2 linked regions of the Xenopus tropicalis genome follow. The protein of the gene in region 2 interacts with the protein of the main gene of each other region in a biochemical or structural test. Links are inferred from orthologs where the notes say so. Each region holds a gene or a part of one and is shown on either strand. Other genes may lie near its edges. The genes, in order: timp4 and mmp2.

What was found.
Region 1: the proteins of mmp2 (region 2) and timp4 form a complex in vitro, tested with the Homo sapiens proteins (2 studies listed by BioGRID). The link is inferred for Xenopus tropicalis from reciprocal best matches to the Homo sapiens genes MMP2 and TIMP4.

What each region holds. Positions count from the first base shown.
Region 1 is NC_030680.2:151,124,755-151,129,287, forward strand, and holds the start of timp4 (metalloproteinase inhibitor 4), read left to right. Parts: upstream 1-1,679; 5' UTR 1,680-1,812; coding exon 1,813-1,936; intron 1,937-4,533. UniProt on the Homo sapiens protein: Complexes with metalloproteinases (such as collagenases) and irreversibly inactivates them by binding to their catalytic zinc cofactor. Known to act on MMP-1, MMP-2, MMP-3, MMP-7 and MMP-9.
Region 2 is NC_030680.2:42,698,412-42,702,238, reverse strand, and holds part of mmp2 (72 kDa type IV collagenase precursor), read right to left. Parts: intron 906-3,827; coding exon 679-905; intron 590-678; coding exon 441-589; intron 16-440; coding exon 1-15.

The sequences.
Region 1 (4,533 bases), about 110 Mb from region 2:
TCAGCTCAGGTCAGCGTTTCACCTGCACAAAGACTTCAGTGGGTTTGGGAACTTTCCAGAATCTTTGTATTAAGCCTCAGTATATGAAAGAGTTTCACTGTCTCGGCTTCTCCGGTAATACCCAGTCAGAACCCGACCTGAGACCGGCTCTGGGCCCCTGACTCCCTTCTGCAGAAACAGGGGCCCAACGTCCTCCCCCGAGTGTGTACATTGAACGCGTCAGGGGGAGCACCGGCAAGGGTCTTGTCCGGGCCGCCGAGGCCCATTAGAGTCGGGGCCCACCAGGATTTTTCCCAGTCCGACCCTGTACAGAACCATTTCCTTTCTCTTATATTTTCCCTGTCACTTTTATATTAACTGTTCAAATCATGCAGGCAGTGATATTCCCAGATGATTTGCAGTTGGTCTTCAGTATTTAGTTTTTTAGAATTTTTGTCTGGTTGCTAGGGTCCAGTTTGCCCTAGCAATATGGCAGCGGTGTGAATGAGACAATAAAAAGATGAGTTGCTGGGTCAGTGACCCCCATTAAAAGGTGGAATGGGGTAAGACAGAAAGGTAAATATTTTAAAAAAATGAAGACCAAGTGAACAGTTGCTACAAACAGGCCATTGTATGTGTGTATGTATGTGTGTATGTATGTATGTGTGCATGTATGTATGTATGTATGTGTGTATGTATGTATGTATGTGTGTATGTATGCATGTATGTATGTATGTATGTATGTATGTATGTGTGCATGTATGTATGTATGTATGTATGTGTGCATGTATGCATGTATGTATGTATGTATGTATGTATGTGTGCATGTATGTATGTATGTATAACTTTATTTATAAAGCGCCACAAGGGTACGCAGCGCTGTATAATCTTACAAAATACAAAATTACATACAGGGAGGACAAGTGTTATAATAAATAAATACAATAAATATTAATGCACAGGGAATAAGTGCCATGTGGTATGAGACACAGTAGGAAGGAGGTCCCTGCCCCGTAGAGCTTACAATCTAAGTATAAAATACTAACAGTTAATGTCACTGGAAACTACTGCCTCAGGGCAATGAGAAACAAAACACATTGTTGCCAAGGGCAACAAGACGCCAGTATCGCTGCAGCTTTAACTGCACCCCCATGTTAGTGCCTAAGGATGCACATTGTAGTGCAGGGAGACCCGCAGGGGAGAAGGGTAATGTGCATAAGATGAAAGGTGCTGGGAGTTGTGCAGGACACATGAATTTTGAAGAATTTTATATAATAGTCCCCCAACTAAACTAGAGATTAGTTTTAACTAAACCAGAGCCTCCTCTGTGACTTCTAATAGCCTTATAAATGGCAATATGGGGGAGATTATCCTCTCTGTGTGTGTTCAAAATAAAGATCTAAATGATCATTTGCCACCTTTCAGCAGGATGCTGGGAGCTGAGTGCTAAAGCTAGGAGGGAATTCTGGGACTTGTAGTCCAGCAATAGCTAAAGAGCAGCTTCAGCGGGTGAATGTTCTTATGTGAGTGAACAAAGGGTTTGTGTTGCCCCTAGCACTAAGAAAACTACATTTGCCAAGAAGTGTTGAATAGAATTACTAGCGGGGAGTGATTGGCACCCTGGCTGTGCCCTCTGATTGGTGCACAGGGCTCCCCGAGGGAGGGGCTAGAGAGCTGAAGCCATAAGAAAAAGAAGGTTTTATGTAGCACAAATTAGAAGTCAGGGAGCATCAGGCTGGAGCGGCCGCAGCACTGAGGGACCTTCCCAGCCAAGCTGACATTGTCTCTGGGGGGACGCGGGAGGGAACTGCCCCAGCACTGGATGTGGCCACTATGGGAGCCTCATTGCCCAGCTTGTGGCTTGCACTCCTTTTAACCCTTGGAGCACCTGAGTCAGTGAGAGGCTGTACCTGTGCCCCTTCCCACCCACAGGAACAGATCTGCGATGCGGCAATTGGTGAGTTAACTACAATTAAACTGAATATCACTTGTTCCCAGCAAGAATGATGAAGATGATTGGGAAGGTGCAGCCTAAATTAACTTTTAGTGTAATGTTGGTCTTTCTTTTCTATGTTTTGGGTTTTAAATAAGGAACAGCAATGTGGTTGCTATGGACACTGACCTCAGCAACATAGCAGGAGACTGGAGAGGTATTGAGCAGATATATAATAAGATGATGGTAAGATAGATATCTGTATAACTCTGTCTAAATTTTAAGGCTAAGACCCCCCCCCCCCTTCCATTTAAACAAGAAGTATATCATGACTGTAAGATTTGTGCTGTTTTGTTTGTGTGGATTTTCCCAGGCTGTCAGAACCAGAACCGGATTCTGGAGAAATAACTAGGAATAAAACTCAGTGACAGAAGCTGAACTTTGCTCAGACCAACCCATCCTCTCTTCTGTGTGATAATCAATATCAGAACTAAATAACCCAAACTCCAGAGGATCTGGGTGCTGGGGATTATACTGGTACTAGAGAACTAGTTCTGTCTGAGCCAATGGGCTGGGGATTATACTGGTACTGGAGAACTAATTCTGCTGAGCCAATGGGTTGGGGATTATACTGGTACTGGGGAACTAGTTCTGTCTGAGCCAATGGGTTGGGGATTATACTGGTACTGGAGAACTAGTTCTGTCTGAGCCAATGGGTTGGGGATTATACTGGTACTGGAGAACTAGTTCTGTCTGAGCCAATGGGCTGGGGATTATACTGGTACTGGAAAACTAGTTCTGCTGAGCCAATGGGCTGGGGATTATACTGGTACTGGAAAACTAGTTCTGCTGAGCCAATGGGCTGGGGATTATACTGGTACTGGAGAACTAATTCTACTGAGCCAATGGGTTGGGGATTATACTGGTACTGGAGAACTAGTTCTGTCTGAGCCAATGGGTTGGGGATTATACTGGTACTGGAGAACTAATTCTGCTGAGCCAATGGGTTGGGGATTATACTGGTACTGGAGAACTAGTTCTGTCTGAGCCAATGGGTTGGGGATTATACTGGTACTGGAGAACTAGTTCTGTCTGAGCCAATGGGCTGGGGATTATACTGGTACTGGAAAACTAGTTCTGCTGAGCCAATGGGCTGGGGATTATACTGGTACTGGAGAACTAATTCTGCTGAGCCAATGGGTTGGGGATTATACTGGTACTGGAGAACTAGTTCTGTCTGAGCCAATGGGTTGGGGATTATACTGGTACTGGTGAACTAATTCTGCTGAGCCAATGGGTTGGGGATTATACTGGTACTGGAGAACTAATTCTACTGAGCCAATGGGTTGGGGATTATACTGGTACTGGAGAACTAGTTCTGTCTGAGCCAATGGGTTGGGGATTATACTGGTACTGGAGAACTAATTCTGCTGAGCCAATGGGTTGGGGATTATACTGGTACTGGAGAACTAGTTCTGTCTGAGCCAATGGGTTGGGGATTATACTGGTACTGGAGAACTAGTTCTGTCTGAGCCAATGGGTTGGGGATTATACTGGTACTGGAGAACTAGTTCTGTCTGAGCCAATGGGCTGGGGATTATACTGGTACTGGAAAACTAGTTCTGCTGAGCCAATGGGCTGGGGATTATACTGGTACTGGAGAACTAATTCTGCTGAGCCAATGGGTTGGGGATTATACTGGTACTGGAGAACTAGTTCTGTCTGAGCCAATGGGTTGGGGATTATACTGGTACTGGTGAACTAATTCTGCTGAGCCAATGGGTTGGGGATTATACTGGTACTGGAGAACTAGTTCTGTCTGAGCCAATGGGTTGGGGATTATACTGGTACTGGAGAACTAGTTCTGTCTGAGCCAATGGGCTGGGGATTATACTGGTACTGGAAAACTAGTTCTGCTGAGCCAATGGGCTGGGGATTATACTGGTACTGGAAAACTAGTTCTGCTGAGCCAGTGGGCTGGGGATTATACTGGTACTGGAAAACTAGTTCTGCTGAGCCAATGGGCTGGGGATTATACTGGTACTGGAAAACTAGTTCTGCTGAGCCAATGGGCTGGGGATTATACTGGTACTGGGGAACTAGTTCTGTCTGAGCCAAAGGGCTGGGGATTATACTGGTACTGGGGAACTAGTTCTGTCTGAGCCAAAGGGCTGGGGATTATACTGGTACTGGGGAACTAGTTCTGCTGAGCCAATGGGCTGGGGATTATACTGGTACTGGGGAACTAGTTCTGTCTGAGCCAATGGGCTGGGGATTATACTGGTACTGGGAATTAGCTCTGTCTGGGCAAATGGGCTGGGGATTATACTGGTACTGGGGAACTAGTTCTGTCTGAGCCAATGGGCTGGGGATTATACTGGTACTGGGAATTAGCTCTGTCTGGGCAAATGGGCTGGGGATTATACTGGTACTGGGGAACTAGTTCTGCTGAGCCAATGGGCTGGGGATTATACTGGTACTGGGGAACTAGTTCTGCTGAGCCAATGGGCTGGGGATTATACTGGTACTGGGAATTAGCTCTGTCTGGGCAAATGGGCTGGGGATTATACTGGTACTGGGGAACTAGTTCTGTCTGAGCCAATGGGCTGGGGATTATACTG
Region 2 (3,827 bases):
ATCCATCACCATGTTCTATAGAACAGAAAAACACAAGCTCCAATGAAAAGATGTCTGCAAATTCACATCAGTCATTACAGGTGACCAGATTACCTTGAACTTGTGCGTTTTGACATATAACACCTATGCTCCCCACCAGTTTATTTAGATAAATTGCATGCAGTGTCCTATTGATGCAGGGGAACCCTGGAGCTACTGCTACTTTGATGCTGTTTTTCAGCACAATTTTGTCCAAATCACACTGAAGTGCAATTGTGAGCATATTAGTGCAACTGACAAAGTACAACTACCCCTGGCAGACACAATCATGCTGGTGTTATGGGGAAAATTGTGTATTGTTAGTAAAAAGAAATGGCAACTTGTGCTCAAAATTGCACTTTACACTTTGCACTTGTGGCCCTGAATGAGCCCTTTTATTTTTATTTCATATAAGATGATACCCCATCGTCCAAAATTGATCATGATATCTGCTTCTCCATCATGAATTCGGGTAAACTCCAGTGGTGTGACATCACTCCAAACTTTAAAAGCACGTGCAAAAGCATCATCAACTGTTTCAGAATCCAAATCTGTTGTGTATCCAATAATCCTAGGAATTAAAAATAAAATAAGCAAAGCAGAATTATTAAATACAAATCTATGTTAACAGATATATATATAGGAAAGAAAAAAACTTGCCTGTATGTCAGCTGATTTTTGTCCCATTTGGGTTTTCTGGGGAAGAAGTTGTAGTTGGCTACATCAGGGTTTCCACATCTTGGCTTTTTCATGGTTTCAATGGTATTTTGATCAAACTCCCCAGTTTCAGTAAGACCAAAGAATTTTTGCATTTTCTTAAGGGCATCCTTAAGAACCATCATGTGACATTTATCCTTAGGGCAGCCATAAAATTGATTTAGGTATTGCTGTAAAAAAAAATTCAGTAAGTAAGACCAAATATATTTTTACAGAACAACATTCTGTCTGGTATGTATCTAACTTGAACTTTCTATCCTATATATACCTTGACATATGGTGGCTTACCAATCTTATGATCATAATTTTGTAACTAAAAACCCCTGTTTTTTTGTAAATACATGCACTAGCATAGATAATTTAGGGGGGGCCAGGGAATGTGCATTGATCAATCCTCCTCTCCTTTTTGTATGCTTGTAGTTAATTTGGCCAGATCAGTCGCACCATTGTATTTGTATACTTTTTTTAGCCTTGGAGTGCTCCCACAACCCCACCTATGTGTATATATATATAGATATATATATAAAAAATAGAAATAGTGCTGCACTTACAGGGACTCGATACAAAAGAAAAAGGTGTTTTTATTGAAAAAAATGGATTTTATTTCAATAAAAACACTTTTTCTTTTGTATCAAGTCCCTGTGTGTGCGGCACTCTTTCTATAATATTTTTGTTTTTGACCTGCACCAAGGGCATTTGGACTTGTATAGGGTGTGTGTGCTCCTCCCTGTGTACTATATATATTTAATTGTTAATTGTGCGATCCACAGTGAATAAAGAGAAAATATTGATGTGACCTGGTGCTGGTCCTGTATGTATTTACATGTTTTGACCTAGCACCCAAACTAGTTTAGAGTGCGGACACACAATTTGACTTTATATATATATATATATTTATAAATATAGTTTTTTGGTGCCTACTGGACACCATTGCAGCATGAGAAGCTTTATGCTCATATGCTAAACACAGGAAAAACAAAAACTAGCTTTAACTAAGCAGAAAAAAGACACGCAGAAACTGCTGGGATATACATTAGTTAGCTTCAAGAAGGTTTGGAATGGTTTTTTTAGCAAGTGAGGGAATACAGGGTTATTAAAAATAGCTCTTATTACAAGTTGATCCAGGGACTTGTCCGATTGCCATCTTGGAGCCAGAAAGGAATTTTTTCCCTCTTTGAGGTGAATTGGAGAAACTTCAGAAGGGTTTTTTTGCCTTCCTCTGGATCAACAATTTGGCAGGTTTCATGAAGATGTAAAAGGCTGAACTTGATAGACGTGTGTCTTATTTCAAGCTAACCTATTATGTTATTATGTATTTGATTCTGTTCAGTGACTGACACGAAAGAATCATATTGATGTATCAAATTAAATATCCCCGTGAAGTGTGTGCTCCATATATTTATTGCCCCTAGTATGTAGAGGGCATATGAACCTAGAAGGTAGAATGTTTTCAAGGCTTACAGGCTTACTTAGATTAGATATCTAAAATGTTAAAAATGTTTTAAAAAAAAAAAAATGTTTAAAAACCTATGGCTTTCCCATTCTTTTCCTAATCACTTTTTCTAATGTTAGGCACCCCCCAGTGATTGTAATTGCTCACCTTATACCCTTGTCTGGTGCCCCTGTTAGGAGAAAACTGCACCAGGAGCACCAACCTGGAGTAAGGTAAGCAATTACAATCACTAAGGGGGTGCACAACATTTTGACACCCAGAGATTTTACCTTTTCTTCTCCTTGGATAGTTTTGCATTTTTGGAACAATAAGAGATGTGTACCCATTTTTTATTTCAATGTGTCAGGCATAAAAAGGCATATTCACTATTTTTATTTTGGGGTCTGTACTCTACATGCTAGATACTTTGGAGATGCTATGCTTGGCATCAAACCCCTGCCATTTATATATATATGATATTGTATTTAGGTAGTTAATGACATGGAAAATAAGACACTATAAAATCCAATCTTTGAGATATCTGTCAAAGATTTAATTAAAATCAATTAATAAAGCAAAATGTAAATAGGAAATTAAACAAGAAATATATTTTGCTGTAGTAAATATAAGTCGTGACATTTGTATGCAGAAGGAATATTTCATTTTGGCATGCCACAGTGTTGTATTATCTACTATATATACTGGACATCAAACTTTTCAGAAGACCCCTGGCATTCTTAATAATAATGTTTTGTCTTGGTATCTAATGGCATGTGGGAGATAAAATGCTGTAAAATGCAAGCATTTGCAACATTTCATAAAAACCACTACATTTAGCAAATGACTTCCATGATCTGTATGCACTGTATTGATGTTGAAGTCACAACCTGCAACCTTGCAACTTTGGTAATCTTTTTCATGTATATTCAAGTTTAAAGAAAGCAAGAGGGGGGTAGAGGGTGAAAACAGTCTTATAACATACATCAGCAACTTAACAAGTTTACATCTATACACTACATAGCAGTATTTTGAATCCTGAAATCTAATATTCCTTCATTTCTGGGCTAGGGCCTGTGTTTCTAAGTTTGGGGAAGTGGAAGTTCCATTTATGTGAGAGAGGCCTTATTTTTCCTGGCCTGTATAAGGGTGAGCCATGATTCCCATATATTCCAGTAATCTTTACATTTATTGTGTATTACATGAGTTATTTTCTCTAATTTTCTTACTTCTTCTACTAAGGTAATGTATTTGAAATGCAGTGGAGGCTGAGAAGACCTTCACCATGTGGGTCTTTGCAGTGTGAAGAAGGTGTAAAGTAGGTAAATCAGGTAATGTAGTATTTTTTCGCTTGTTCACTTTGGAGTTAAGTTAAGTATGATGGGAAGACCAATATTCTGAGACAATTTTGAAATTTTTTTTTTTAGTTTTTTAATGATTCCAGTTTTTGTTTAGCAGCTCTCCAGTTTAGAATTTCAGCAACTAACTGGTTGCTAGGGTACAAATTCCTTAGCAACCAGGGAGTGGTTATAATGAGAGAATGCAATATGAATAGGCGAAAATCTAAATAAAAAAAAAGTAATAAAAAGAAAGAAACAACAGTAAAATTGTAGCCTTACAGAGCAACCATTTTTGGCTTCTGGGGTCAGTGACCCCCATTTGA